Saccharomyces cerevisiae S288C: one gene and its partners. The protein of the gene in region 4 binds, or shares a complex with, the protein of the main gene of each other region. Each region holds a gene or a part of one and is shown on either strand. Other genes may lie near its edges. The genes, in order: NAP1, HTA2, SPT15 and KAP114. A codon is read from its position in the direction of its gene.

Region 1 (7,611 bases), on a different chromosome or scaffold from region 4:
GTTTCTTCGGCTTGGACTTTGTAGATACAGTGTCTCGCTCTTCGGATTCGCCATCATGGTCTGTTTCCTTTATATCGTCTTCGTGGGTGATATTTTCGTCATCTTGTCCACTATCGTATAGTCCCAACGATTGCTCCTCATAAACATTCGTTCTTCTAATGGAAATCGCCAGCGGCAGGACCGAAACGTACATCATTAGCATATAAGACACCTGAATGGACGGGTGTAATTTACTTAAGTCAACAACGTTGAATCCAGCAGTTCTTGTGCATACAGACTGGAAGAGGCCCATGAGAGCTCGATAACCTTTAGCAACCTGCCTTACTACAGCGGAGTTGAAATCCAGAATTATGAAAAGAATCCAATCCGTAGCGTTTAAGACGACTAAAGTTGTAAACAGCCACCATGTGGGGCCGCTGGGGAACAGCAACGTAAAACACCTGCGCGGATGATCCAAGAGAAACCCAAGACTTTCCTTAAACTGAGATAGGTCTCTCGAGGTCTTGAACATGATCCAAATGATAAATCGTAACATAATTGGGAAGCCTGTATTGCCTATGATGATGAAGAACATCATGAAAATCAGCGGATACGGCGCAGTATCAAAGGAAACCATTGAATCAGCGGTCAAAGACAGACCCAAGTTGCTGAATGCACTCATTGCAGTGAAAAACCCCCACCAGGTTGGAGAAACTCCATTTCGTCTAATAATCTCTGAGTAGTGGTGCCTCGTACAGGCCCATGGAACGATGGTCACAAACGCCAAAATGTTGAATCCGATGTAGTATACCATGAGAATGCAGCACAGCAATCTCAAAGCACGATATTCGACACCGCCGAGTTCCTCCTTTTGTTGCTTTGTGAGTCCAATGAAGACGGAGTTTCTGCCAAAGGTTGGCTGCCACGATAGATAGTTGGTGCTCATTGTTCTGGTGAAGGGGTGGCCTATATCACCTTCACGTCGTTTTGGTTTGGGCGGGTGCGCTTGGAACTGTAAATTCAAAGACTCTTGCGGTGAAAAGCTCATCTCCTCATCAACAAAAGATGAAGGCGCCGACTTGGCCAAGTTTCTATGATTTTCAACTACTTGGCCTGAGGTTTTAGGACTCGGTGAAGCAGTATACGTTGGGATGTTACATGATTGCGTTCTAGATATTTTTTTCTTCTTGGTGACCATATATTTGTGAGGAGCACCGTCAAAGTAGTCATGGTCACCTTCATCTCTCCGCAAGCCAAGCAATTTCTGGAAACTTTTCGTCTGGGCTAGCTTGTTCAATTCCTGAGAAGATGGCAGGACAGAATGGCGTTTCAGTGAGCAGTGGGGGGCTCTTCTCTCATGACGTTCCTGCACAATGAAAGCGGGTCCATTGGTCTCGCTCGAAAAAGAATCCGTGGAGTTTGCGTTGCTCTTCTCTTGTTGTTTTTGTAGCATCATTATCGATTTGTAAATGTCTCTTGGGTCAACGTCTGAGGGTTGGCGCTTACTTGAGAAGTTTGGAGGCGAGCTTTGCGTGTCACTGGATTCCTCCTTAGAGGAGGAAACATTCAACGGTGAGATTGAGGACAATGCGGACGTGTCAGGAGAGTCCATCGGCACATCTGAAGCGGATTGTCGTGGGTCTTCTCTGGAAACAAACTTCCCACGGAACAGGTTGTCCTTGAAACTCCTACTTCGAGCGGCATTGCCACTGCTGCCCGATAGTTCCCTTTGTTGCAACGTCATGGTCCTTCTTAGTTTAAAATTCTGTTTGGAGATATCCCTAATGTTGTCGAAGTACCTTTCAAACCAATACAGCCTGACAAAGGCCAAAAACCCATGAATAAGTATAGGCGTGGACAGCAATGTAATGACGTACACCACTATCTGCTGGTACAGGTTGAAATCGTTAGTGCTCTTGGTGGCCAGCCCGCCCTGTGTAGACGCTCCAGCAGCCAGAAATAGCACATCGATGAACGCCGTGTTCTTGCACGGATATAACAGAATGGACCCGATAATCGACAGCGTGATCAGGTAGATATAGTGCACCACGATGAAGTTGGGGAAAACGTATTTAGCAATGGGTCTGCATGATTTTAAGAACCCGGAAATGAAGTCTCTTAGCCGATGGCCCCATGATTTCTTGTGCACCAACCGTAACTGGAAGGGCAGTGCCAACGAAGCCCTGGATGACGTCCTCTTAGCTGTTGGCATGAGTGGTTCTTACAGCCTCTTATCGTCGGTGAATAGTACAAAATAGCCTCTTTTCTCATCATCTGAAACCTAGTTATTCCAATATCATTTCTCTTTTTCAGCCGCACGGCCGAGGGGATTAGAAACGAAAATTCACATCTCATCCTATTCTTCGCAGGAGATCAAAAGTGAAAGAGAGAAACGGGAAACAACCATCTGAGCATGGCAGCTTGCATCAAATTATCAATCATCGTGTGATGTACCATGGCCTATTCAACGGCGGTACGCTTGTACTACAGGGCGCTTTCAGCGCATGCCGGGCACTCCCTTCTTTCTTCCGTCGTCTTGCATCTCTCTAATCCCGTCGCTATGCTCTGATATAACCGTTGCCAAAGTGTCAAGCTGTTGTGAAATTGTGCTGGAGGCATTGATGGTTCTTGAACTCTTCCTCTTTTTAGTCTGGCTTTAGCTTGATTGGGCACGGGCACTCAATGGACGGGGTATCCACCCAGCTTGGAAAGGGGCATATAAAACCAAAAGAGAACGTTAAGAAAAGTGCAAATGAAAATAACAGACCGGGAGATCGCAAACGCAAACGCAATAAATGTCGTTTTGGAAAACATTGCAGAGACAGCCACGTACCATCTCGTTGTTTACCAATGACATCGCGTCCAATATCAAGTCGCAGAAATGCCTGCAGTTGCTGAAGGGAGACGTCTCTCATCGATTCGACGTGGAAATCGCCAACCGCTTTCCCACGTGGGACCAGCTGCAATACATGAGAACTTCGTGCCCGCAAGGCCCAGTTTCGTTGCAAAGGCAGATTCCAAAGCTGGATTCAGTGCTCAAATACAAGCACACAGACCCGACGTTCGGGATGGACCTGCAGAAGTGTGTCCAGAGGGGACTTTGGAATCCAAAGGAGGCGCTTTGGGTCGACTGGGAAAACAAGTTGGTGGGAAATGAGCCCGCAGACATTGACAAGTACATCATTCAGCGCAAATAACACCTATATACCACTATATTGAACACATACATATTTTTATAACAATGGGCTATATCTTTTTTGTATTACCCGCGTAATTGGGAAAATTTTTCCTTTTAAATAGCAGCGTTTGGGATCAAAAATGGCAGTTTGATGGTAGATTAGGAGGATTTAGTGAGCCCAGTGGGACCAAGAGCAAAGCGCAAGATCATGTCAGACCCTATCAGAACGAAACCCAAGTCGTCGATGCAAATCGACAACGCCCCTACGCCTCACAATACCCCAGCATCGGTTCTGAATCCGAGCTATTTGAAAAACGGCAACCCAGTTAGGGCCCAGGCACAGGAGCAGGATGACAAGATCGGCACCATCAACGAGGAGGACATCTTGGCTAACCAACCCCTGTTGTTACAGTCCATCCAGGACAGACTTGGCTCGCTGGTGGGCCAGGACAGCGGGTATGTGGGGGGTCTTCCCAAGAACGTTAAGGAAAAGCTGCTGAGCTTGAAGACTTTACAAAGCGAGCTATTCGAAGTTGAAAAGGAATTTCAGGTGGAGATGTTTGAGCTAGAGAACAAGTTTCTGCAGAAGTACAAGCCCATTTGGGAGCAGCGGTCCAGGATCATTTCAGGACAAGAGCAACCCAAGCCGGAACAGATCGCAAAGGGCCAAGAGATTGTGGAGTCACTCAATGAGACGGAGTTGTTGGTGGACGAAGAAGAGAAGGCCCAAAATGATTCCGAGGAGGAACAGGTGAAGGGAATTCCCTCATTCTGGCTAACCGCATTAGAGAACTTGCCCATCGTTTGCGACACGATCACTGACCGCGATGCGGAAGTTCTGGAGTACCTGCAAGATATTGGTCTGGAATACTTGACGGATGGTAGACCCGGTTTCAAGCTGTTGTTCAGATTTGATTCTTCCGCCAACCCATTCTTCACCAACGACATTCTGTGCAAGACCTACTTCTACCAGAAGGAGCTCGGTTACTCCGGGGACTTTATCTACGACCACGCAGAAGGCTGCGAGATCAGTTGGAAGGACAACGCCCACAACGTCACTGTGGACCTAGAAATGCGCAAGCAGAGAAACAAGACCACCAAGCAGGTGAGGACCATCGAGAAGATCACTCCCATAGAATCCTTTTTCAACTTCTTCGACCCTCCCAAGATCCAAAACGAAGACCAAGACGAGGAGTTGGAGGAAGACCTCGAGGAACGTCTAGCTTTAGACTACTCCATCGGGGAACAACTTAAGGACAAGCTAATTCCTAGAGCCGTGGACTGGTTTACCGGCGCAGCCTTGGAATTCGAGTTCGAGGAGGACGAAGAAGAAGCGGACGAGGACGAAGACGAAGAAGAAGATGATGATCACGGCTTGGAGGATGACGACGGGGAATCTGCCGAAGAGCAAGACGATTTTGCTGGCAGGCCGGAACAGGCTCCTGAATGCAAGCAGTCATAATCCCAACGCACTTCGCAAGAGTGGTCATAACCGTATTCATATATTTATATACATATGTATACATACATATATAGATATATATATGTATATACATGTAAGTGTGTAAGCTGAAATATATGTTAAAGCGCATGTAACTAAGACGACAATAATAATAATAATAATGATAATAATAGCCTAGATTTTCTCCGCCGTGGGGGATGATCGTATTCTTTCGGATTTAATAATATAGCAGCAAGGGTTATAAAAGGAAAGATAACGGAATGTATCGGTAATCATTAACCATCACTCACTCTCCAGAACCGTAGCGTAATTATGTCTGAATCATCTATTTCTTCTTCTAAACCATCTGTGGAATTGCCACAAGCAACCTGGTCGCATCTGCAAAGATACCCAGCTTTATCCAAGTTTATTAAATATGCGGAATCTCTGCCACCTGTGGAGAGATTGATTTCCTTCAACCTCGTTGTTTTGGGATCTGTGAACCAGTGGGTTTCCGAATCGTCCAGCTCTCCTCGTCTGGTGAAGCAAGTTGTTGCTGCTGGGAAGGAAGGGGCCTTCAAGTTGGACGAGTTAGTTAACCTCTTGGTGTTCAAGGAGGGTGTCGACGGCTTGCTGTACAATTGGAAATCACATTCCAACACGCCAGGGATCTGGCTGGTGTGGTTCTTCGTCGACTACGTCGCCAACATTTCTAATACTCTGTTGAGGGAGTTCCTGATCAAGCCATTGCACTTGCAAGGTTCTACCGCATCGAAGGAGATCGGCTCTTCCGGTGAGGAGAACAAGGTCACTGATGCTTCTTCTTTGCCCCACGTGGCAGAGTTGTCTTCAACGACCAGAGGTATGTCGCAGGAGATCCAGTCCAAGGTCAAGTCGAACTATATCGACCCAACCAAGGACCTGGCTAAAGAAAAGTACGACGCCATAGTGAAGCCCACAACTGACAAGTTGCAGTCTGTGTACATCGACCCAACAAAGACTAAGCTTAACGAAACCTACCAACGCTTCACCACTGTCTATGAAAACAATCTAAGTAAATCTGAAAGCGTCCCTAAAGCCATTGTATCCACCGGGTTGGACTTGGGCAATGCCACCATTGAGAAGCTAAAGGCCTCAAGAGAAGACCAAACCAATTCTAAGCCCGCGGCTGTGTCGACCAATTAGTAATTTGGTTTTGCGCTAATCGTGCGCCTGATTTTTTTTCCTGCCACTCTTATATAGTTATTTGTTATTATTCTATTATTTCATCTATTGTTTGCTAGCTATTATGTACGTTGCTGTTTGAGCACTATATACAATTGAATACCAAAGAAAAAATTATAAAAACGAAAAAAAAAAAAAAAAAAAAAAATTTGGTTATAGCTCGATCAAGAGACAATAAAAGTGAATATACATGGTGCCAAGGGAAAGTCCTAGCATGTCAAACAGTCATCATACATCCCAGGGAAGAAGAAACAAACTTTCAGTGTGGGTTAAAAAAATAATAAACACCACTACCACAACTAACGCATCGGTCTCGAGCAGTAAACCAAGACGCGGCACTAGGGCTGGCCCCACAAGAGTTAAGCGTGCTGAGTTGGATCCGGATGGAACAACCATCAGTTCGTCGTTGCGACCATTGGTTGATCGAAATTCGTTGCATTCGAGCGAATCCGATGACGAAGGAGACCGTCGAGTGGCATGGGATGAACCACCAACAGGCAAAGTAAGACAGCAGCAGCAGCAACAGCAGCAACAACAAAACGACAACGCAAGTGTTATTCCGCTAGTATCGTTTTGTTCCTCGTCAGTGAAGTCGTCTACTTTCTCGGACATTCATTCAATACAGTCTACGAGGCCCACAATATTCTCTAACAGGACGTTTGAGACGAATTCTAGCGTTCTGGCCATCCCACCACAGAGTATATTGGATCGATCAAGAACCCTCCCGCCGTCGAACGCAAGTAACACTACCACAAGAAGACCGTGAATTGGCTACCTAAGATGAACGTCCTATATTGTATTATTTGTGTATGTATGTATGTGCGTGCCTATGCAATGCTACATGGGCAATAGCCCCACAGAATGCGAGCCTGCCCTTTTTCTTCTGGATCTAATTTTTTTGAACCTTCTTTGGAAAACTCTTATGCAAGCAGAAAAAAGATAAATGCCCATGATCAATAGCAAAATCTCGCTATAATGCCATATGGTCAGCACGACCTTGAACAACCGAGAGTGAGGATTGTTTGAAGTTTTCTGTTCAGCTGACTGTGACCCAGTCTTGATGTTTGGTTGAGCTTTGATCATTTTCCATTTGGTGAACTCATCGGGTTCCCTGTCAAGGACCTCGCCAAATTCCTGCTCCAGGAATAGCTCAGCTTCCTTTGCGTAATCATAGGTGTCCTCAATGGACGCATCCATGTCGTTCCAATGGAATTCGCTAGTGGATACGTCCAGCAGCTCCACTGTCTCCGTTAATTGGCCATTTAATGCGCTACAGCCAATGTATCTTTGCCCCGTGTGCATGTTTTTCGGCAAGTACAGATTTTCGGTTGTTTGAAATAACTCAATCCAGTAGTTTCCCTCTTTTGCGTACTGCACGTCGATCTTCAGGAAGCTTATACTTTCCAAATATATTATTCTTAGTTTCGTGACTCGATTCCACAGGGCATTTTTCTTGAGTTTTATGTGGCCTCTTGAATTAAGCCGCAGCGATGTACTGAGTTCACCATCACTATTTATATCGTACCAATCGCTTTCTGGGGCCACATTTATAAACACATCCATAAAGGGTACCTCCTTATGGTCGTGGCCTTGGTTGCGATACGTATCCAAGACAATAAATAGGCCAGGCAGATTTTTCGGGAAGCCCATCAGATCTGTATTATCGGCTATGACGCCCTGAGAATTCATCATGTATTGCTTTTTCGCATACGACGACTGTAAATTCTGTGTGAGAAACCCATTTTCGGGCGTAATGGCAAAACACATTCCATCACCAGTGAGTTGTGTA
Region 2 (6,621 bases), on a different chromosome or scaffold from region 4:
GAAGAATTAAGAGATGCAGTAAGAGTAACCTTGGGTAAAATCAGTATTATCTTGGGCGCTGAGTATCTTGTCTTTGTGATAAAGGAATTAATGGCTACATTAAAACGTGGTTCTCAAATTCATGTGTTAAGTTACACTGTCCACTACATATTAAAGAGTATGCACGGAGTCTTAAAACACTCCGATTTGGATACCTCGTCCAGTATGATTGTTAAGATTATAATGGAAAATATCTTTGGGTTCGCTGGTGAAGAAAAAGACTCTGAGAATTATCATACAAAAGTGAAAGAAATTAAGAGTAATAAAAGCTATGATGCTGGTGAAATTCTCGCCTCAAACATCAGCCTGACAGAATTTGGAACATTACTCTCTCCTGTGAAGGCTTTGTTGATGGTCAGAATTAATCTAAGAAATCAAAACAAACTGAGTGAATTATTGAGACGATATTTGTTGGGTTTAAATCATAATAGTGACTCTGAGTCAGAAAGTATCCTCAAGTTCTGCCATCAGCTTTTCCAGGAATCAGAAATGAGTAATTCCCCTCAAATACCAAAGAAAAAAGTGAAAGACCAAGTAGATGAAAAAGAAGACTTTTTCTTGGTAAATTTGGAGTCGAAATCTTATACCATCAACTCAAACAGTTTGCTTTTGAACAGCACTTTACAAAAATTTGCTTTAGACTTACTTAGGAACGTAATAACGAGACACCGCTCCTTTTTAACTGTCTCGCACCTAGAGGGTTTTATTCCATTTTTGAGAGATTCGTTACTTTCGGAAAATGAAGGTGTGGTAATTAGTACTTTACGTATCCTGATTACATTAATTAGGCTAGATTTTTCCGATGAATCTAGTGAAATCTTCAAAAACTGTGCGAGGAAGGTACTAAATATTATCAAGGTTTCTCCTTCAACTTCAAGCGAATTATGCCAAATGGGTTTAAAGTTTCTTTCTGCCTTTATACGTCACACAGATTCAACATTAAAGGATACTGCTTTGAGTTATGTTCTAGGGAGGGTCTTACCAGATTTAAATGAACCAAGCAGACAAGGCCTTGCTTTTAATTTCCTAAAAGCACTTGTTTCAAAACATATCATGCTTCCAGAACTCTATGACATTGCGGATACTACTAGGGAAATCATGGTCACAAACCACTCAAAAGAAATTAGGGATGTATCCAGGAGCGTTTACTACCAATTTTTAATGGAATATGACCAAAGTAAGGGTCGTTTAGAAAAGCAGTTCAAATTTATGGTCGACAATTTACAGTATCCTACCGAGTCCGGCCGTCAGTCCGTAATGGAATTGATCAATTTGATTATTACAAAGGCTAATCCTGCTTTACTATCCAAATTATCATCTTCCTTCTTTCTGGCGCTAGTTAATGTTTCTTTTAATGATGATGCGCCAAGATGCCGTGAGATGGCTTCAGTATTGATTTCCACCATGCTTCCAAAGCTTGAAAATAAGGACCTTGAAATTGTTGAAAAATATATAGCCGCTTGGCTAAAACAGGTTGATAATGCATCCTTTTTAAATCTTGGGTTGAGAACTTATAAGGTCTACTTGAAAAGTATTGGGTTTGAACATACTATTGAGCTAGACGAGCTTGCCATCAAGCGTATAAGGTACATTTTGAGCGATACGTCGGTAGGATCAGAACATCAGTGGGATTTGGTATACTCAGCTTTAAATACGTTCTCATCTTATATGGAAGCAACAGAGAGCGTTTATAAACATGGTTTCAAAGACATATGGGATGGTATTATCACATGTCTCTTGTATCCGCACTCATGGGTCCGTCAATCGGCGGCAAATCTTGTTCATCAACTCATAGCCAATAAGGATAAGCTGGAGATATCATTAACCAATCTGGAAATTCAAACCATTGCAACAAGAATTCTTCACCAATTAGGTGCGCCTTCTATTCCGGAGAATCTTGCGAACGTCTCAATAAAAACATTAGTTAATATCAGTATCCTATGGAAGGAGCAACGCACGCCGTTCATAATGGATGTATCAAAACAAACTGGAGAGGATCTAAAATATACTACCGCCATTGATTATATGGTAACTCGAATTGGTGGTATTATCAGGTCGGATGAACATCGTATGGATTCTTTTATGTCGAAGAAGGCGTGTATTCAGTTATTGGCCTTATTAGTTCAAGTTCTGGACGAAGACGAAGTAATTGCAGAAGGGGAAAAGATATTATTGCCGCTATATGGTTATTTAGAAACATATTACTCAAGAGCAGTTGATGAAGAACAGGAAGAACTACGCACTCTTTCAAACGAATGTTTAAAAATACTGGAAGACAAATTGCAAGTATCCGATTTTACAAAAATATACACTGCTGTCAAACAGACCGTATTAGAAAGAAGAAAGGAAAGGAGATCTAAAAGGGCAATTCTGGCTGTTAACGCTCCACAAATTTCTGCTGATAAAAAGTTGAGAAAGCATGCGAGATCGAGGGAAAAGAGAAAGCATGAAAAGGATGAAAATGGGTATTATCAAAGACGTAACAAAAGAAAGAGAGCCTAGCTGTAATATATCTTTATAACATGTATACTAATGAATAAAAAATCCAAGTTATAACGTCAAAGCTGTAGTACGTTAGCATTTCCGTAAGTAAAACCGTAAACTTGATACGTTTTTTATTTTCTTTATTAATAGTAATACTATACACTGTCTTTAATAAAACGACGCTATTTATAAAACTGTTAGATAAAAGACATACCAGTCTTCCTCATATGACCTACTTTAAAACCCCAAATGACAAGAATGTTTGATTTGCTTTGTTTCTTTTCAACTCAGTTCTTACAGTTCTTGAGAAGCTTTGGCAGTCTTGGCAGACTTCTTTGGCAACAAGTTTTGGTGAATGTTTGGCAAAACACCACCTTGGGCGATGGTAACATTACCCAATAGCTTGTTCAATTCATCATCATTTCTGATGGCCAATTGTAAATGTCTTGGAATAATTCTGGTTTTTTTGTTATCTCTAGCAGCATTACCAGCCAATTCTAAAATTTCAGCAGCCAAATATTCTAAGACAGCAGTTAGATAGACTGGAGCACCAGAACCAATTCTCTGGGCGTAGTTACCTCTTCTTAGCAATCTGTGCACTCTACCAACTGGGAATGTTAAACCAGCTTTAGCAGATCTAGATTGAGAAGCTTTAGCAGCTGAACCAGCTTTACCACCTTTACCACCGGACATTATATATTAAATTTGCTCTTGTTCTGTACTTTCCTAATTCTTATGTAAAAAGACAAGAATTTATGATACTATTTAATAACAAAAAACTACCTAAGAAAAGCATCATGCAGTCGAAATTGAAATCGAAAAGTAAAACTTTAACGGAACATGTTTGAAATTCTAAGAAAGCATACATCTTCATCCCTTATATATAGAGTTATGTTTGATATTAGTAGTCATGTTGTAATCTCTGGCCTAAGTATACGTAACGAAAATGGTAGCACGTCGCGTTTATGGCCCCCAGGTTAATGTGTTCTCTGAAATTCGCATCACTTTGAGAAATAATGGGAACACCTTACGCGTGAGCTGTGCCCACCGCTTCGCCTAATAAAGCGGTGTTCTCAAAATTTCTCCCCGTTTTCAGGATCACGAGCGCCATCTAGTTCTGGTAAAATCGCGCTTACAAGAACAAAGAAAAGAAACATCGCGTAATGCAACAGTGAGACACTTGCCGTCATATATAAGGTTTTGGATCAGTAACCGTTATTTGAGCATAACACAGGTTTTTAAATATATTATTATATATCATGGTATATGTGTAAAATTTTTTTGCTGACTGGTTTTGTTTATTTATTTAGCTTTTTAAAAATTTTACTTTCTTCTTGTTAATTTTTTCTGATTGCTCTATACTCAAACCAACAACAACTTACTCTACAACTAATGTCCTCTGCCGCCGAAAAGAAACCAGCTTCCAAAGCTCCAGCTGAAAAGAAGCCAGCTGCCAAGAAAACATCAACCTCCGTCGATGGTAAGAAGAGATCTAAGGTTAGAAAGGAGACCTATTCCTCTTATATTTACAAAGTTTTGAAGCAAACTCACCCAGACACTGGTATTTCCCAGAAGTCTATGTCTATTTTGAACTCTTTCGTTAACGATATCTTTGAAAGAATTGCTACTGAAGCTTCTAAATTGGCCGCTTATAACAAGAAATCCACTATTTCTGCTAGAGAAATCCAAACAGCCGTTAGATTGATCTTACCTGGTGAATTGGCTAAACATGCCGTCTCCGAAGGTACTAGGGCTGTTACCAAATACTCCTCCTCTACTCAAGCCTAAGTCACTCACTAGGTATTGTGATTTAGTCATGTTTTCTTTTTATTAGTGGCATTTTTTATATATTGTAACATTAGGGTTCTGTTACTTGTCCAGATATGATTGGAAGGGTCTAGTCTATCAGCCTCCGAAGGGAGTTGTATAAATGTATATATATAACTTTATAAACAAAAAAAATTGGGAAAGATATTTTGCAAACAGTTATTATTAAATTGTTTCTTAAACTCTCCTTAAAGATATACCCTATTTAGGTTCACTACACGAGCATTCATTGAGAAATTTTTTTTAAAACAACATCGATCTTATCTTGAGCAGTTTGGTGCTTATCAGTTCTAGTCCCAACACGAATATCAGTGTGTACTCTAACATATCCTTTCTCATGACCGTATTCATGGATTTCGCCAATCAAACCCATCACATCATCCCAAGGCCCTTCAATTGTTGTTCCTGCACTGTGTAAAGTGCTCTTTAATGGGCTTTCTCTGATTTTTTTTTCAATGAGTGCAACAAAATCAGAAATACTAGCAGAGTCGGTGCCAATAGGGACCATACACACGTCCGCTAAACAAAAGATCTTGGGCATTTTCTAAACTTGTAGTTTATGTGCTTTATAGTTAATGATCACGACGGCAATGACAAAAACTGAATATCTTGATCTCTCCTTTTGACGATGTCAGTGAATCCCGGTTAATGATATTCTGTTTTTCACGGGGTGGAAAAGAGGGGAGCTTGAATCATACTAAAAAAGGAATGTCAAAGAGCTATATAATTCGAATAAAAAGTAAAAGAAACGAAAGGTTTTATTAAAGGGTTTGGAGCTGTTTTCGGACTGAAAGCCAGTAACAAGCTTGTGTAGGAGTTTGTCTGAAAACCATCTTCATTTCAAATAAGAGAGCGAGTAATTTTTAAATAATTTCTTTTCTGAACTACTTAAATCGCTATGTACCTTGCGAAAATTATTCTTTAATAGTTTAACTAAAAGTAAAAAGTTAGAAATCATAAATAAAAAATCAAAGAGACAAATCTCGTTGCAAAAGCTTGAAAAATAGTGCTTTACCAACAGGTTGGCAAACCAGAATGCTAACAAAACTTAAAATCCCATTTCCCAAGAGGATCAATCAATCATATTTACCTTGATAGTATAGGATACAAGTGTCTGTGCAGGCCTCCGATAACATGTAAAGTAATAAAAGTAGGAGTACTTGCTTTCAGCAGAAAATGAAAAAAAGAACGTTCAAACAGACTGAAAATATAGCTATTCAACTGGCACCTACTAATATCAATAATAATAAATTAATCTTGAGCAAATTGATCCTACATAAATCATGTGACTTATTTATTTAATTATTATTAAGTAAAAAAGATTTTCTATTTAAATTTATTAATTAATTTTTTTTCTTAAATAATTATTTTATGTTTTTGTTTTCCGAAAAAGAAAAATATTTCAACAAGAAGTATCAATATATTTCTTGCAAAAAATTGTTCACCGAGAATTGACAAAAAAACCTTACGTCGGTGACGACGATATACAGATCCTATATTCTTCATGTATGTAATAGATTCCCATACCTTCTTCGCATTTAAGACACTAATAGAAATGAAAGCTTTCTATTAGTCATTCTTCCTATGCACTAGACCACGCAAAGGTGAACCGGCTTGGTACGAGAATTCTATCACACGGTAATGATAGTGTTCCCGATGTCAAGCAGTCTTATACAGTACTACCCAAGAGCTTAAGAATAAGCAAGAAGATCTGGCAAGCTACAAGGTACTCATAACGATCTTCAAAGCGTAAGTTATGATCTTATGAAAATCAGACTTTTTTGTCTCAACAAACTCCTAGTTTGAAGATGTTACTGAAATGCCCTTCAAACACTTTTACTTGAAAATCATCGATTACTATTCTAACCTTCACAAATGAGCCTTTACACAACTTGATTAATAATAATATTTGACCTTACTCTAAATCGTCTCAAATATTACTGAGGCACAATCTCATGGTTATTGATAGAAAGAAGAATATAACATATATCTTATTTACATATGTTCGTCAATATTATAGGTAATACAATTTTTTCTCAGAGGGTTTCAAACTATTGAAAAATGGCAATGGTGGACTACAAGCAGCGAGAGCCCTTCTTGCATGATTATTCATATATTTCAATCCGAGCAAATAACTTGTGTTCACCCAACCAAAGCCTTCTGTAGCGACGCCCTTAAAATCAGCACCTTGATTACCATATTCCGCATCAACGCGATGCGGATCAGTCCCTCTTGTCACATCATATTTTTCTACCACCATTCCGTTATAAT
Region 3 (6,973 bases), on a different chromosome or scaffold from region 4:
GTGTTTGTTCCCACACTTTGTAAAACTCACAGAATTCAAGAATGCTCTTGTATGTCTGGATTCGTGAGTCCAGCTCATTCATCGAAACACCGCCAGCGGCAATGTTCTTAATCAGTTTCTGCGTTGTAGAATAGACTTTGGGGAGGAACTTCCTGGAAAAATTGCCCTTTTCGTCATAACAGTTCACGATGTAGCTGACACTTTGCAATAATAACAGTATGTTCTTTAATTCTTTGTAGTGGAAAATCATAGGCAACTCTACTTTCAGCGCTATCCTTGGCATGATTTTGATCACACATCCCTTACCTTCATTAGTGACTAGAGATTGCTTGTTTGTGTCAAAGAAATTTTTGAATTCGTTCAAGTGGTCCGTAATATTCCCGTCTTTACAAAGCTGGATTACCATCTCTAATGCCAACTTCCATGCATATAGCTCAGGCCCCACCGTGTGCAGCTCCGTGCTTCGCAGCTCCTGCAGAGCATCCTCGGGGATTGGGAACCTCTCATTTAGCAAGTAATTCACATAACACAGATTTAGAAACCATTTCCATTGTGACTTTTCCCGACATTGCGAGAGTAGCCCATGAAAACTCGTCTTCACCCTGCGGTGCTGTTTCAGCTTAATGCAAAGCATCACGCCGACATACTGGAATACGGATGCCCAATTTTGATACAACTCATCCTGCAAATTTACCATGTACTGGACTAATTCATTGCAATTTCTTAGTGCAATCTTATAGTGGAACTTACTGTCTCTCATAAGTGGCAAGTCATGTAACAGCAGAAACTCGCAACGCATGATCTCTTCTACCAAATCTGTGTCGCTCTGGTGCGTTTGTAACCGTTCTTTCAAACTGGAAATGTAAAGCTCTGCTAGGTCAAAATTATACGTCTCCTGTATCAATAACTCCACCATCTCAAACGTGACCTTACTATCCTCCAGAACTGAAAGCGTACATTTCGTTTTCAATAGCTGAAACATCTGGATAGACATGTTCATGAGGCCATAATACTGCTTCAACCCTTCCTCAGAACCGATTTTATTCGCAATTGAATATGCATGGTCTCTGTATTCCTGTGCTAAGTGGTATACTTGTGAAATACTAAGTTTGTCGCCAAGATTTTCCATGAATTTGTACTTCTTTCGAAATCGTTCAATTTCTACCAATACTGATTCCCCTCTGATAGCTGAGATGTCGGGATTCCCTTTGCTGATAGATCTAACTCATCTCTTTACGTATTTTAATTGTGAAGCCGTAAATAGTTATCTTCCAAGTTTCTCTTACGCGAGCTTTTTGGGAAAAGAAAAAAATTTGAAGATCTACATATAAAACATGGCTTCAAAGGATTACTAATGACTTTTTTTACCTTGATAGGTATTCTTGATGGTAAGAGTAAACAAGGGACGTGAAAATTACAGTAGTTACTGTTTTTTTTGGACTATAAGATCGGGGGAAAGATAACACATAAGAAATAAAACGACTACTAGTTAGACTGCTCTGCGGAAGAAGCAAGGAAGTAAAGGCTGCATTTTATTTTTCTTTTCTAGTCCAACATAAACAGGTGTATCAAGAGAAACTTTTTTAATTATGGCCGATGAGGAACGTTTAAAGGAGTTTAAAGAGGCAAACAAGATAGTGTTTGATCCAAATACCAGACAAGTATGGGAAAACCAGAATCGAGATGGTACAAAACCAGCAACTACTTTCCAGAGTGAAGAGGACATAAAAAGAGCTGCCCCAGAATCTGAAAAAGACACCTCCGCCACATCAGGTATTGTTCCAACACTACAAAACATTGTGGCAACTGTGACTTTGGGGTGCAGGTTAGATCTGAAAACAGTTGCGCTACATGCCCGTAATGCAGAATATAACCCCAAGCGTTTTGCTGCTGTCATCATGCGTATTAGAGAGCCAAAAACTACAGCTTTAATTTTTGCCTCAGGGAAAATGGTTGTTACCGGTGCAAAAAGTGAGGATGACTCAAAGCTGGCCAGTAGAAAATATGCAAGAATTATCCAAAAAATCGGGTTTGCTGCTAAATTCACAGACTTCAAAATACAAAATATTGTCGGTTCGTGTGACGTTAAATTCCCTATACGTCTAGAAGGGTTAGCATTCAGTCATGGTACTTTCTCCTCCTATGAGCCAGAATTGTTTCCTGGTTTGATCTATAGAATGGTGAAGCCGAAAATTGTGTTGTTAATTTTTGTTTCAGGAAAGATTGTTCTTACTGGTGCAAAGCAAAGGGAAGAAATTTACCAAGCTTTTGAAGCTATATACCCTGTGCTAAGTGAATTTAGAAAAATGTGATGGGGAAGGAGTAGACGAAAAGAAAAAAAGGTTTTCTATTTGTTCCATTTTCTCAATTATTAATGGTCCTCAAAGAAATAAAAGAAAAGGAAGAAGAAGTAATTGTAATATCAAACGGTTTTTTATAGTATATTCTTCTTATTCTATATTTATATATCAATGTTTTATAATAAGATGTTTATTCATAGCATATCTGGTGGATCGTCTCTATTAAGCGCCAGCGAGGTGTTTGCCTCTGCATTTTTCAGCAAAGCAAGCTCCCTTTCCAGCTTGAATCTATGTTCACGCTCATCCGACAATTCTTTTTCATACTTTCTTTGTGTACTCGTAAGCACTTTTTTAAACTCACTTGTCATTATTGAAAGTGAACGTGATCCAGAACCGCTTGTGGGGCTTCCTACAGAGGAAGGTGAACTTGGATCCCAAGTCACCGGCGAACTCGCTGGTGATGACATGCCGAAATTATGTCTGCTTGAATTCAGCTTGTTGTTGGCTTTTTCAAGTTCTTTATTTTCCTGCTCCAATTCGTGTAATTTCTTTTCAGTTTTACTCAAATTCGAGTGGTTGTTTAATAACTTATCTTGTAATTCTCTGTTAGTCCGCGTTAGCTTCTCGATATCTTGTACATATTCGGCACGGTCATTCTCGAATTGCTTAGTCAAGAAATTGTGTGCCAGTTGCAAATCACTAAATGCCGTTTCTAGTTCTTCTAATTTTTTAGAGGAGTCTTCCTCTTGAATTGCAGCGGCGTTAGGCGAAATAGGTGGTGATGACGTATTTTTTTCTAGACTGACGCAGGTATCCAAGATAGAATTTATCCCATTTTTCAAGAACTTCACAGGGTCATCTAATGGTATTGGCTTGATATCAATGCCTTTCTGAATGGAGTTTGACATCAAGAAGGACGTTAATTCTTGAAGTATTTCATTTTTATCGTCATCAGCTTTGTCAGTATGGTAAGCACCCTTGTTAAATTTATCTGTGCCACCCATATTAGTGGAAGACCTCGCTCTTTTAGAATTTGGGAAACTGTTGTTGTTTTCCTTCGTAAGCTGGTCTATCCCTGTAGTGTTAATGGATTCAAGGATCCTCAGCATCATTTCATACCAATCCGCAGACTTCGGCTGCAGCTTCAGCAACTCATTGAGTGTGGGATTTAGATCATCAGAGTTCAAGTGCTCTTTTTGAACGTAGTATAGGGCGAACTCAGACACTAGCTTTTTGTCAAGGTCTATTTCTGACTCGTCATTTTTACTTCTATACAGAAGATAGTCAAAATAGTCAATGGAAGTGTATGGTCTACTATTGTGATGCGGATGTGACGGATTTTGGGAGAGAAGGTACTGTTTCAATTCATCGTATTTCAATGGATACTCTTCGTATCGTTCTGCACTAAAAAGCAAAGGGTTCGCTCTTCTCGAGAGCTCTAGATCAAATTTATGCATATGAAACGTGATATCCACCGTTATTCTCCCTCTCGAACACAGGACTTCGATAGTATCTTTTGTAATCTGTTCAGCTCAACTATTTGTTACCATACCATCATCATCACTTTACACATACTCATCATGTGTTTATTGACGCGAGCGCGACTTGCAAGAAAAGGCATAATTGTGGCGAGGTAATGAAAAATTTTTGACGTTTCCCTCATTCATTCATACATAACATTTTGGGATTTTGGAACAAGGCGAGAGGAGAACGTCTTTGGACCACTGTAATAGTACACAATGCAAGATATTTTAAGTTTATGCTAAAAATCCAGAAGTGACGCTTCATCAACGGTGTCAATATGGACCGAATTTTAGTGTATCTTCAATTGTAACCGTGAGGAGTAGACTCTTTGAATACGGGGGAAGAAGAAATATCATATTCAAAGCTAATTCATTGAAATTAGTGCTTGTCTCATCTAGCCTTTAGTGCTTAATCTCTGGAGGAGCACATATGGGGTTAAAGCCATGCCGGGACTGGGGGCCCCTATCGGGGCTCGAACCCGAATCCCGCGAGTATTTATTTGAAGGTCCGGGACGCAAGTTACCTAATCTGGTTAATTGATATCCCATTTAGGCGATGACGTTCCTTCCCCTCACCCCTCGGCTTGTTAGAAGATCTATTGTTATAGCCTCCTCTGGAAGAATTTATGCCAGATGAAGAAAAAAACTTCTCGAAGTTCCCAGATGCCCAAATGAGGGCTTTCCATCCCTGTTAGCTGGAAAAGTGTAAGTATATCTATATAAAAAGTCGGCCTACTTTTGCCAGGTTCGTCTTTCACTTGCACTCTCTTGATCTTACTTTCTACTCAAAAAGAATCCAATACACAAAAATAAAATCAGTACTATTACTAATAATGTTGTCTAACGCTAAGCTCCTTCTATCATTGGCCATGGCCTCTACGGCTCTCGGATTGGTATCTAATTCTAGTTCCTCTGTAATCGTGGTACCATCAAGCGATGCTACTATTGCCGGTAACGATACAGCCACGCCAGCACCAGAGCCATCATCCGCCGCTCCAATATTCTACAACTCGACTGCTACTGCAACACAGTACGAAGTTGTCAGTGAATTCACTACTTACTGCCCAGAACCAACGACTTTCGTAACGAATGGCGCTACATTCACTGTTACTGCCCCAACTACGTTAACAATTACCAACTGTCCTTGCACTATCGAGAAGCCTACTTCAGAAACATCGGTTTCTTCTACACATGATGTGGAGACAAATTCTAATGCTGCTAACGCAAGAGCAATCCCAGGAGCCCTAGGTTTGGCTGGTGCAGTTATGATGCTTTTATGATCGAATAGTCTTTAACTAGAGACTTATTTTAAACAGGACATGTGTTTTTTACTAATATTGTATTCTTCGATGTAGTCGTTATAGTTCTTTTTCTTCAAATCATTTAAATAAAGAAACTATTTTTTCTTTTTGTGTGTAGAATAATAAATGTAATTCTAGTTCTTCCTTTTTTTTTTTGGCTTTTTCACAGCTCATCTTTTTTACCCATTTGGTCATGATTATGTTGTTTGCCGTTGTGCAATAGGGAGTTTGTAAATCCTGAGATAAAGTATGGTGCTTCGAGGTTAGCACTTAATTGGCGTAAGCTGCTTAATGACAAAACCCTCCTTGGGCTTGGCGTATACGAAATATGCTCCTGCGAAGCGCAGTGGCAATATTGAGCACTATGTTAACGATAACGTGTTGGACTCATCGTCTGTGCACATATGATTGAAATCGGGAATCCTCTGCTTTTTTTAGGTAAAATCAAACTTTGGCTAAATTTGGATGATTACTTAAAGTAAGAAATGAATCTTAAGAGATGTATGAGTTTTGTGATAATTGTTGTGATTCCATTGTTGCCAAAGGCCATAATATTTTGAAATTCACATTCCTTCTACAAGGTATTTGTTTCTTAAATGTTCATCTCCAAGAAATAATTGGTTTCGTGGTCTAGTCGGTTATGGCATCTGCTTAACACGCAGAACGTCCCCAGTTCGATCCTGGGCGAAATCATTTTTTAAATATGCCAAGCATAAAGTGTAACTCTGTTTCTCTGTCTGTCTCTATTTCTTTTTTAAAATCGTGCTCACTATCGTATTGTATTGTATTGTATTGTATTATTGCTATATTATTTTTTATGTATTTTGTCTATAATACCACCCCCCGTCTTAATTTCTCTTTTGATACATTAAAATATAGGCAGTCCTCGAATCAGAAGCTTCTTCGCCACCTTTCAAAACGTCATCGTCCTCTAGTTCGGTAATATTTACATCATCTATTCTATACCATTTGTTGTGCTCGCTATGATAAACATCCGCTGTGTAATGACCGCCATCGGAACTTACCCCATGATGGTATATAACTCCGGTTAGCTTATATCTTCTATCATCAATCCCTGAGGTGTTGTTTTTCAATGTTATGGAAGACATTGATTCTTCAGGTATGATTAACTCGTGACCATATTTAATTTTTTTCCTGATCTTCTCAATACGTCCATTGTACGCGTTATAGTTCGTCATTGCGTTGTCTTTGTTCACATTATTTATGAATGAGAATCTTTTGAATTGGATTAAAAGAACTTGCGGCAATTTATCAATAAAAGTCTGCTTCTTGGCCTCGACATCATTCCCTGACGAGGACTTAAAGGGTAGCAATTCGTATTCACTAAATTTTTTGAATGCAGTTTCTAGATCATTCACACCAGCATCTGAAATGTCCAATTGAATTGTTTGGAACGGATCGAGTGTAATCGATTGAGATTCCTTATTGTTCGGTATATCTAACACAGATCTGAACTGGCCACCGAAAAGTTTGGAGATTGGTGATGGAACAATCTCGACAGTCCTCTTGGCAGCGGTCTTAGTTTTCTTGCCTCTTTTGCTAGATCCGCTCACTTCATGCCAACCATTTTCTTCGGTAGAGTCATCATTGATCACGCCATATTTTTCTATCAACTCCTTCAGTCTAGGACTAGCATTTTTGATAAACTCTGCTTTTCCATAACGTGACAAATTTCTAATAAAGAAAACTTTCAATTGTTCATCATTAATACTTTGCAGCATATTTTGAATTTCATTATCGGTTAAGCCATCAATTGCAGAAATTAATTCCTCGTGTAATTGGTCCAATAAGTGGGTCAAAAATTCTTCTGCGTCTTCCTGATGGCCCC
Region 4 (5,734 bases):
AAATATACTAAATAAAAATAATACTATCATCGTTGTGATGCAAAAAAAAAAAAAAATGAACAGAAAATAATAGTGATGTGAATGGTTTCGTGCCAAGGAACAAGGCCATGCATAGTAAACCTTCTCACTATGCCAAGTGAGGATAAATTGGGTGAAGAGATATCAACGAGGGTGATTAATGAGTATTCAAAACTAAAATCTGCCTGCAGACCAATAATTAGGCCTTCAGGTATCAGAGAGTGGACAATATTGGCAGGTGTTGCAGCTATTAACAGAGATGGCGGTGCGAATAAGATAGAGATACTTTCCATAGCTACTGGTGTGAAGGCTTTGCCAGATTCAGAACTACAAAGAAGTGAGGGGAAGATTCTGCATGACTGTCATGCAGAAATACTGGCATTACGAGGTGCTAATACAGTTTTATTAAACCGTATTCAAAACTATAATCCATCAAGTGGTGATAAATTCATTCAACATAATGACGAGATACCTGCCAGATTCAATTTAAAGGAAAACTGGGAGTTGGCATTGTACATCTCGAGATTGCCCTGTGGTGATGCCAGCATGAGTTTCCTGAATGATAATTGCAAAAATGATGATTTCATCAAAATAGAAGATAGCGACGAATTTCAATACGTCGACCGTAGTGTGAAAACAATATTGAGGGGACGCTTGAATTTCAATAGAAGAAATGTCGTTAGGACTAAACCAGGAAGATATGATTCCAATATCACTTTATCTAAATCCTGTTCTGATAAATTATTAATGAAACAACGGTCGTCGGTACTGAATTGTTTAAATTATGAACTCTTTGAAAAACCTGTATTTTTAAAGTACATTGTGATTCCTAATTTAGAAGATGAAACGAAACATCATCTAGAGCAATCATTTCACACTCGTCTACCGAATCTAGATAATGAAATTAAATTCCTGAATTGCCTCAAACCATTTTATGATGATAAATTGGATGAGGAGGATGTTCCTGGTCTAATGTGTAGTGTCAAGCTCTTTATGGATGACTTTAGCACCGAAGAAGCGATTCTTAATGGCGTGAGGAATGGATTTTATACCAAATCATCGAAACCACTGAGGAAACACTGTCAATCGCAAGTAAGCCGGTTTGCACAATGGGAACTATTCAAAAAAATAAGACCAGAGTATGAAGGAATAAGCTATTTGGAATTTAAATCTCGTCAAAAAAAGAGAAGCCAGTTAATTATCGCAATAAAGAACATTTTATCTCCCGATGGTTGGATACCCACCAGAACGGATGATGTGAAGTAATATATATATATATTGTTGAATATGCGTATATGCACACTTTTTTGTTAGTGCACCTTAAAGAAATATATACACAGTAGAAATATCTATATATCCAGAGTTCATCTATCTTTCCCTCTCTGTGGTATTATCATCACATATTTTATCATTTTTTATCATCTTCTTCGTCATCGTCAGATGGACCATCATCTATCATTTCCCCATCCTCATTGTTATCACCTGATCCATTGGTACTATCAATCGCTAACTCGGCACCCTGCAAAAGGTCAATTAATTCATCCAGTTCATCACCATGAACCAAATCAACTGGCTTTTGATTGTTATAGTTTCTCACCCTAGGATCCGCACCCACTTCAATTAAGTTTCTAGCAATAAAAGTTCCATGCTCAGGCTCCTCTTGACTGTATCTGACAGTAACATGTAACGGAGTGTCGCCATCAACGTCGTTTTGTGGGTCTATTTCGATTTCACCGTCTTGATCGAGAATCTTGTCGAGAACTTCCCAGGATCCATACTTACAACATAAATGTAACGCTGTATTCCCCAGTGGTTCTTTGGATTCGTTAATTAGCTTTGCAATCTTCTCAGGATCATTATCTAAGCTATCAAATACGGTCTCCAAAAGATCCAGATTGTTTCTTCTAGCTGCATCCAGCAATTGTTCACTTAAAGAAGCACCTTCAGTATTCATGATCAAAAAAAGAAACTAATTTATTTTGTGAAAAACTTCGACTTCTTTCACTTATGACTTTTTTCACTGGGATTCAGAAACTACCTCACAGGACCCCTATATAATGAATTTATTGTCAACCTTTCTATCAACGCGTTATACCTTGGGTATACTAGGAAAAAAAAAAAAAGATACATATGGATGTATATGACCTGCATACACGATCCGAAAATCTTGAACGTAATTGTAACACTATCAACACATTAAAATGGATATTAATGAATTGATAATAGGTGCTCAATCAGCTGATAAACACACTAGAGAAGTTGCGGAAACGCAATTGTTACAGTGGTGTGATTCCGATGCATCTCAAGTGTTTAAAGCGCTGGCAAACGTTGCCTTACAGCACGAAGCTTCTCTAGAATCGAGACAGTTTGCTTTATTGTCGTTAAGAAAATTGATCACCATGTATTGGAGTCCAGGATTTGAATCATACCGTTCTACATCGAACGTCGAAATAGATGTTAAAGATTTTATCCGAGAAGTGCTACTGAAATTATGCTTAAATGACAATGAAAATACCAAAATAAAAAATGGTGCATCTTACTGTATTGTTCAGATATCTGCGGTTGATTTTCCTGATCAATGGCCGCAGCTTTTAACAGTTATTTATGATGCTATCTCTCATCAGCATTCATTAAATGCGATGTCTTTATTGAATGAAATTTACGATGATGTCGTATCTGAAGAAATGTTCTTTGAAGGCGGAATTGGCTTGGCGACAATGGAGATCGTTTTCAAAGTACTCAATACAGAAACTTCTACTTTGATAGCCAAAATTGCTGCTTTGAAGCTACTTAAAGCATGTCTTCTACAAATGAGCTCCCATAATGAGTATGATGAGGCGTCACGAAAAAGTTTTGTCTCCCAATGTTTAGCTACTTCTTTACAGATATTGGGACAATTGTTGACTTTGAATTTTGGAAACGTAGATGTTATTTCTCAGTTGAAATTTAAATCCATTATATACGAGAATTTGGTTTTTATTAAAAATGATTTCTCTAGAAAGCATTTCTCAAGTGAATTACAAAAACAGTTCAAAATAATGGCAATCCAAGATCTGGAAAACGTTACCCATATAAATGCAAATGTCGAAACTACTGAAAGTGAACCCCTTTTAGAAACAGTTCATGATTGTTCTATTTATATTGTAGAATTTTTGACTAGTGTTTGCACTTTGCAATTTAGTGTTGAAGAGATGAACAAAATTATAACATCTTTAACCATTCTTTGTCAGCTAAGTTCTGAGACAAGAGAGATATGGACAAGCGATTTCAATACATTTGTATCGAAGGAAACAGGCCTAGCAGCATCATATAATGTTAGAGATCAAGCCAATGAATTTTTTACTTCATTACCCAATCCTCAACTTTCCCTAATTTTCAAAGTTGTTTCCAACGATATAGAACACAGCACGTGTAATTATTCAACTTTAGAATCTTTACTATATCTCTTACAGTGTATTTTGCTTAATGATGATGAGATAACTGGTGAAAATATCGATCAATCTTTGCAAATTTTAATAAAAACGTTAGAAAATATCTTAGTATCACAAGAAATACCAGAATTAATATTGGCGCGTGCAATTTTGACTATTCCCAGAGTACTAGACAAATTTATAGATGCATTACCTGATATCAAACCCTTGACATCTGCATTCTTGGCAAAAAGTCTTAATTTGGCGCTAAAATCTGATAAAGAGCTCATTAAATCCGCAACATTAATAGCATTTACGTACTATTGTTATTTTGCCGAACTAGATTCAGTCCTTGGACCAGAGGTCTGCTCAGAAACCCAGGAAAAAGTAATTCGAATAATCAACCAGGTTAGTAGTGATGCCGAAGAGGACACTAATGGGGCTTTAATGGAAGTATTAAGTCAAGTCATTAGCTACAATCCGAAAGAACCTCATTCAAGAAAGGAAATTTTACAGGCTGAATTTCATCTTGTGTTCACGATCTCATCCGAGGATCCAGCAAATGTACAGGTCGTTGTACAAAGTCAAGAATGCTTGGAGAAACTATTGGATAATATCAATATGGATAATTACAAAAATTACATTGAATTATGTCTCCCATCATTTATTAATGTGCTAGATTCCAACAATGCAAACAATTATAGATACTCACCCCTGCTATCATTAGTCTTGGAATTCATCACAGTTTTTTTGAAGAAAAAACCCAACGATGGATTTTTACCAGATGAAATAAATCAATACCTATTTGAACCATTAGCAAAAGTATTAGCGTTCTCTACTGAAGATGAGACCCTACAGTTAGCCACGGAGGCATTCAGCTACCTGATTTTCAACACAGATACACGAGCCATGGAGCCAAGGTTAATGGATATCATGAAGGTTCTAGAAAGGCTGCTGTCTTTGGAGGTATCGGATTCAGCCGCTATGAACGTCGGTCCATTGGTAGTTGCCATATTCACAAGGTTTTCAAAGGAAATCCAACCGTTAATAGGAAGAATTTTGGAAGCCGTTGTGGTAAGGTTAATTAAGACACAAAACATTTCTACTGAGCAAAACCTTCTTTCTGTATTATGCTTCTTAACGTGTAATGATCCTAAACAAACGGTGGATTTTTTGTCTAGTTTCCAAATTGACAATACTGATGCTTTGACATTGGTGATGCGAAAATGGATAGAAGCCTTTGAAGTCATTAGAGGTGAAAAAAGAATCAAAGAAAATATCGTTGCTTTGAGCAACCTTTTCTTCCTGAACGACAAAAGGCTACAGAAAGTGGTTGTCAATGGTAACTTGATACCATACGAAGGGGACCTGATCATTACAAGATCAATGGCTAAGAAAATGCCAGACAGGTATGTACAAGTTCCACTTTATACCAAGATCATTAAATTGTTTGTTTCTGAGTTAAGCTTCCAAAGTAAACAACCGAATCCAGAACAATTGATCACAAGCGATATTAAGCAAGAAGTGGTAAATGCTAATAAAGATGACGACAATGATGATTGGGAAGATGTAGATGATGTACTCGATTACGATAAGTTGAAAGAATATATTGATGATGATGTCGATGAAGAAGCAGACGACGATTCAGACGATATAACGGGACTCATGGACGTGAAGGAATCTGTTGTTCAGCTACTGGTAAGATTCTTTAAAGAGGTTGCAAGCAAAGATGTGAGTGGCTTCCATTGTATTTACGAGACTCTATCCGACAGTGAACGTAAAGTTCTTTCAGAAGCCCTTTTGTAGCTTATATACATAAGCCGTGGAGATATCAGATGTAAAGTAGTTAGAGTAGAAAAAATGCGGCAAAATAAGCGCCGTCTATATAAAAGAAAGAAAGTGTTAAATAAACTGACCACAGAAGGTGGCAAAAATAATACGAGATTTAGAAGTCAGATAATGGACCCGATTGGAATAAACAAAGTCTTGGACCATTTAGCACCCTCAGAGCTTATCAAACCTGTTAAGAGTTGCCATAATAAACCTTCAGTGTTGGTGTTGGATGACAGGATTGTGGATGCGGCAACCAAAGATCTCTACGTGAATGGGTTCCAAGAAGAGATTCAGTATCAGAATCCTACACCGGAGAACTTGCAACATATGTTCCACCAAGGTATTGAAATATTGGATTCGGCAAGGATGATCAACGTGACACATTTAGCGCTTTGGAAGCCTTCTTCTTTTAAGTTGGGGAATCCTGTGGACTTTGCTCTAGATGATAACTACGATACGTTTTGGCAGAGCGA

What was found.
Region 1: the proteins of KAP114 (region 4) and NAP1 are in contact, whole or in part, in a cryo-EM structure (PDB 9B3F), measured with the Saccharomyces cerevisiae proteins. Residues at the interface, in NP_011273.1 of Saccharomyces cerevisiae: Val927 (codon at 4,998), Asp928 (codon at 5,001), Asp929 (codon at 5,004), Tyr939 (codon at 5,034), Asp942 (codon at 5,043); in NP_012974.1 of Saccharomyces cerevisiae: Arg290 (codon at 4,233), Lys291 (codon at 4,236), Gln292 (codon at 4,239), Arg293 (codon at 4,242).
Region 2: the proteins of KAP114 (region 4) and HTA2 are in contact, whole or in part, in a cryo-EM structure (PDB 8F0X), measured with the Saccharomyces cerevisiae proteins. Residues at the interface, in NP_011273.1 of Saccharomyces cerevisiae: Ser70 (codon at 2,427), Gly72 (codon at 2,433), Glu74 (codon at 2,439), Ala120 (codon at 2,577), Val121 (codon at 2,580), Asp122 (codon at 2,583), Phe123 (codon at 2,586), Pro124 (codon at 2,589), Asp125 (codon at 2,592), Asp155 (codon at 2,682), Asp156 (codon at 2,685), Val157 (codon at 2,688), Val158 (codon at 2,691), Ser159 (codon at 2,694), Glu160 (codon at 2,697), Gln203 (codon at 2,826), Asp859 (codon at 4,794), Ile861 (codon at 4,800), Ile862 (codon at 4,803), Thr863 (codon at 4,806), Arg864 (codon at 4,809), Ser865 (codon at 4,812), Met866 (codon at 4,815); in NP_009552.1 of Saccharomyces cerevisiae: Gly24 (codon at 3,147), Glu58 (codon at 3,045), Tyr59 (codon at 3,042), Ala62 (codon at 3,033), Glu63 (codon at 3,030), Glu66 (codon at 3,021), Leu67 (codon at 3,018), Asn75 (codon at 2,994), Lys76 (codon at 2,991), Lys77 (codon at 2,988), Arg79 (codon at 2,982), Ile81 (codon at 2,976), Pro82 (codon at 2,973), Arg83 (codon at 2,970), Leu87 (codon at 2,958), Arg90 (codon at 2,949), Asn91 (codon at 2,946), Asp92 (codon at 2,943), Glu94 (codon at 2,937), Leu95 (codon at 2,934).
Region 3: the proteins of KAP114 (region 4) and SPT15 are in contact, whole or in part, in a cryo-EM structure (PDB 8H5B), measured with the Saccharomyces cerevisiae proteins. Residues at the interface, in NP_011273.1 of Saccharomyces cerevisiae: Ser205 (codon at 2,832), Asn208 (codon at 2,841), Asp263 (codon at 3,006), Ser361 (codon at 3,300), Glu363 (codon at 3,306), Thr364 (codon at 3,309), Gly365 (codon at 3,312), Leu366 (codon at 3,315), Ala368 (codon at 3,321), Ser369 (codon at 3,324), Tyr370 (codon at 3,327), Asp374 (codon at 3,339), Asn377 (codon at 3,348), Glu378 (codon at 3,351), Thr381 (codon at 3,360), Leu421 (codon at 3,480), Tyr510 (codon at 3,747), Tyr513 (codon at 3,756), Glu546 (codon at 3,855), Asp547 (codon at 3,858), Glu554 (codon at 3,879), Gln558 (codon at 3,891), Ala590 (codon at 3,987), Asn591 (codon at 3,990), Val592 (codon at 3,993), Gln593 (codon at 3,996), Val596 (codon at 4,005), Gln597 (codon at 4,008), Tyr933 (codon at 5,016), Leu936 (codon at 5,025); in NP_011075.3 of Saccharomyces cerevisiae: Val71 (codon at 1,800), Thr73 (codon at 1,806), His88 (codon at 1,851), Ala89 (codon at 1,854), Arg90 (codon at 1,857), Asn91 (codon at 1,860), Arg98 (codon at 1,881), Phe99 (codon at 1,884), Arg105 (codon at 1,902), Arg107 (codon at 1,908), Glu108 (codon at 1,911), Lys110 (codon at 1,917), Leu114 (codon at 1,929), Phe116 (codon at 1,935), Lys120 (codon at 1,947), Met121 (codon at 1,950), Val122 (codon at 1,953), Thr124 (codon at 1,959), Lys127 (codon at 1,968), Asp131 (codon at 1,980), Leu134 (codon at 1,989), Arg137 (codon at 1,998), Lys138 (codon at 2,001), Arg141 (codon at 2,010), Ile142 (codon at 2,013), Gln144 (codon at 2,019), Lys145 (codon at 2,022), Ala150 (codon at 2,037), Lys151 (codon at 2,040), Phe152 (codon at 2,043).

The regions. Positions count from the first base shown.
Region 1 is NC_001143.9:522,395-530,005, reverse strand, and holds NAP1 (histone chaperone NAP1), read left to right. Parts: upstream 1-3,365; coding exon 3,366-4,619; downstream 4,620-7,611. Other genes in the region: TRK2 (Trk2p), read right to left, coding at 1-2,191; FMP46 (putative redox protein), read left to right, coding at 2,775-3,176; PLN1 (Pln1p), read left to right, coding at 4,932-5,783; YKR045C (uncharacterized protein), read left to right, coding at 6,037-6,588; UIP5 (Uip5p), read right to left, coding at 6,660-7,611. UniProt on the Saccharomyces cerevisiae protein: Acidic protein, which assembles histones into an octamer (in vitro). Involved in the regulation of the localization and the function of the septins during mitosis. Involved in the function of B-type cyclins.
Region 2 is NC_001134.8:232,577-239,197, forward strand, and holds HTA2 (histone H2A), read right to left. Parts: upstream 3,217-6,621; coding exon 2,818-3,216; downstream 1-2,817. Other genes in the region: UTP20 (Utp20p), read left to right, coding at 1-2,541; HTB2 (histone H2B), read left to right, coding at 3,916-4,311; ECM15 (Ecm15p), read right to left, coding at 4,577-4,891; alpha,alpha-trehalase NTH2, read right to left, coding at 6,365-6,621. UniProt on the Saccharomyces cerevisiae protein: Core component of nucleosome which plays a central role in DNA double strand break (DSB) repair. Nucleosomes wrap and compact DNA into chromatin, limiting DNA accessibility to the cellular machineries which require DNA as a template.
Region 3 is NC_001137.3:463,714-470,686, forward strand, and holds SPT15 (TATA-binding protein), read left to right. Parts: upstream 1-1,589; coding exon 1,590-2,312; downstream 2,313-6,973. Other genes in the region: cohesin-loading factor complex subunit SCC4, read right to left, coding at 1-1,129; PEA2 (Pea2p), read right to left, coding at 2,495-3,757; SPI1 (Spi1p), read left to right, coding at 4,657-5,103; mRNA-binding ubiquitin-specific protease UBP3, read right to left, coding at 5,973-6,973. UniProt on the Saccharomyces cerevisiae protein: General transcription factor that functions at the core of the DNA-binding general transcription factor complex TFIID. Binding of TFIID to a promoter (with or without TATA element) is the initial step in preinitiation complex (PIC) formation.
Region 4 is NC_001139.9:43,226-48,959, forward strand, and holds KAP114 (karyopherin KAP114), read left to right. Parts: upstream 1-2,219; coding exon 2,220-5,234; downstream 5,235-5,734. Other genes in the region: TAD1 (tRNA-specific adenosine deaminase), read left to right, coding at 82-1,284; ankyrin repeat-containing protein ANK1, read right to left, coding at 1,427-1,972; anaphase promoting complex subunit DOC1, read left to right, coding at 5,388-5,734. UniProt on the Saccharomyces cerevisiae protein: Required for nuclear protein import and mediates docking of import substrate to distinct nucleoporins. Serves a receptor for nuclear localization signals. Mediates the nuclear import of TATA-binding protein (TBP) and of histones H2A and H2B.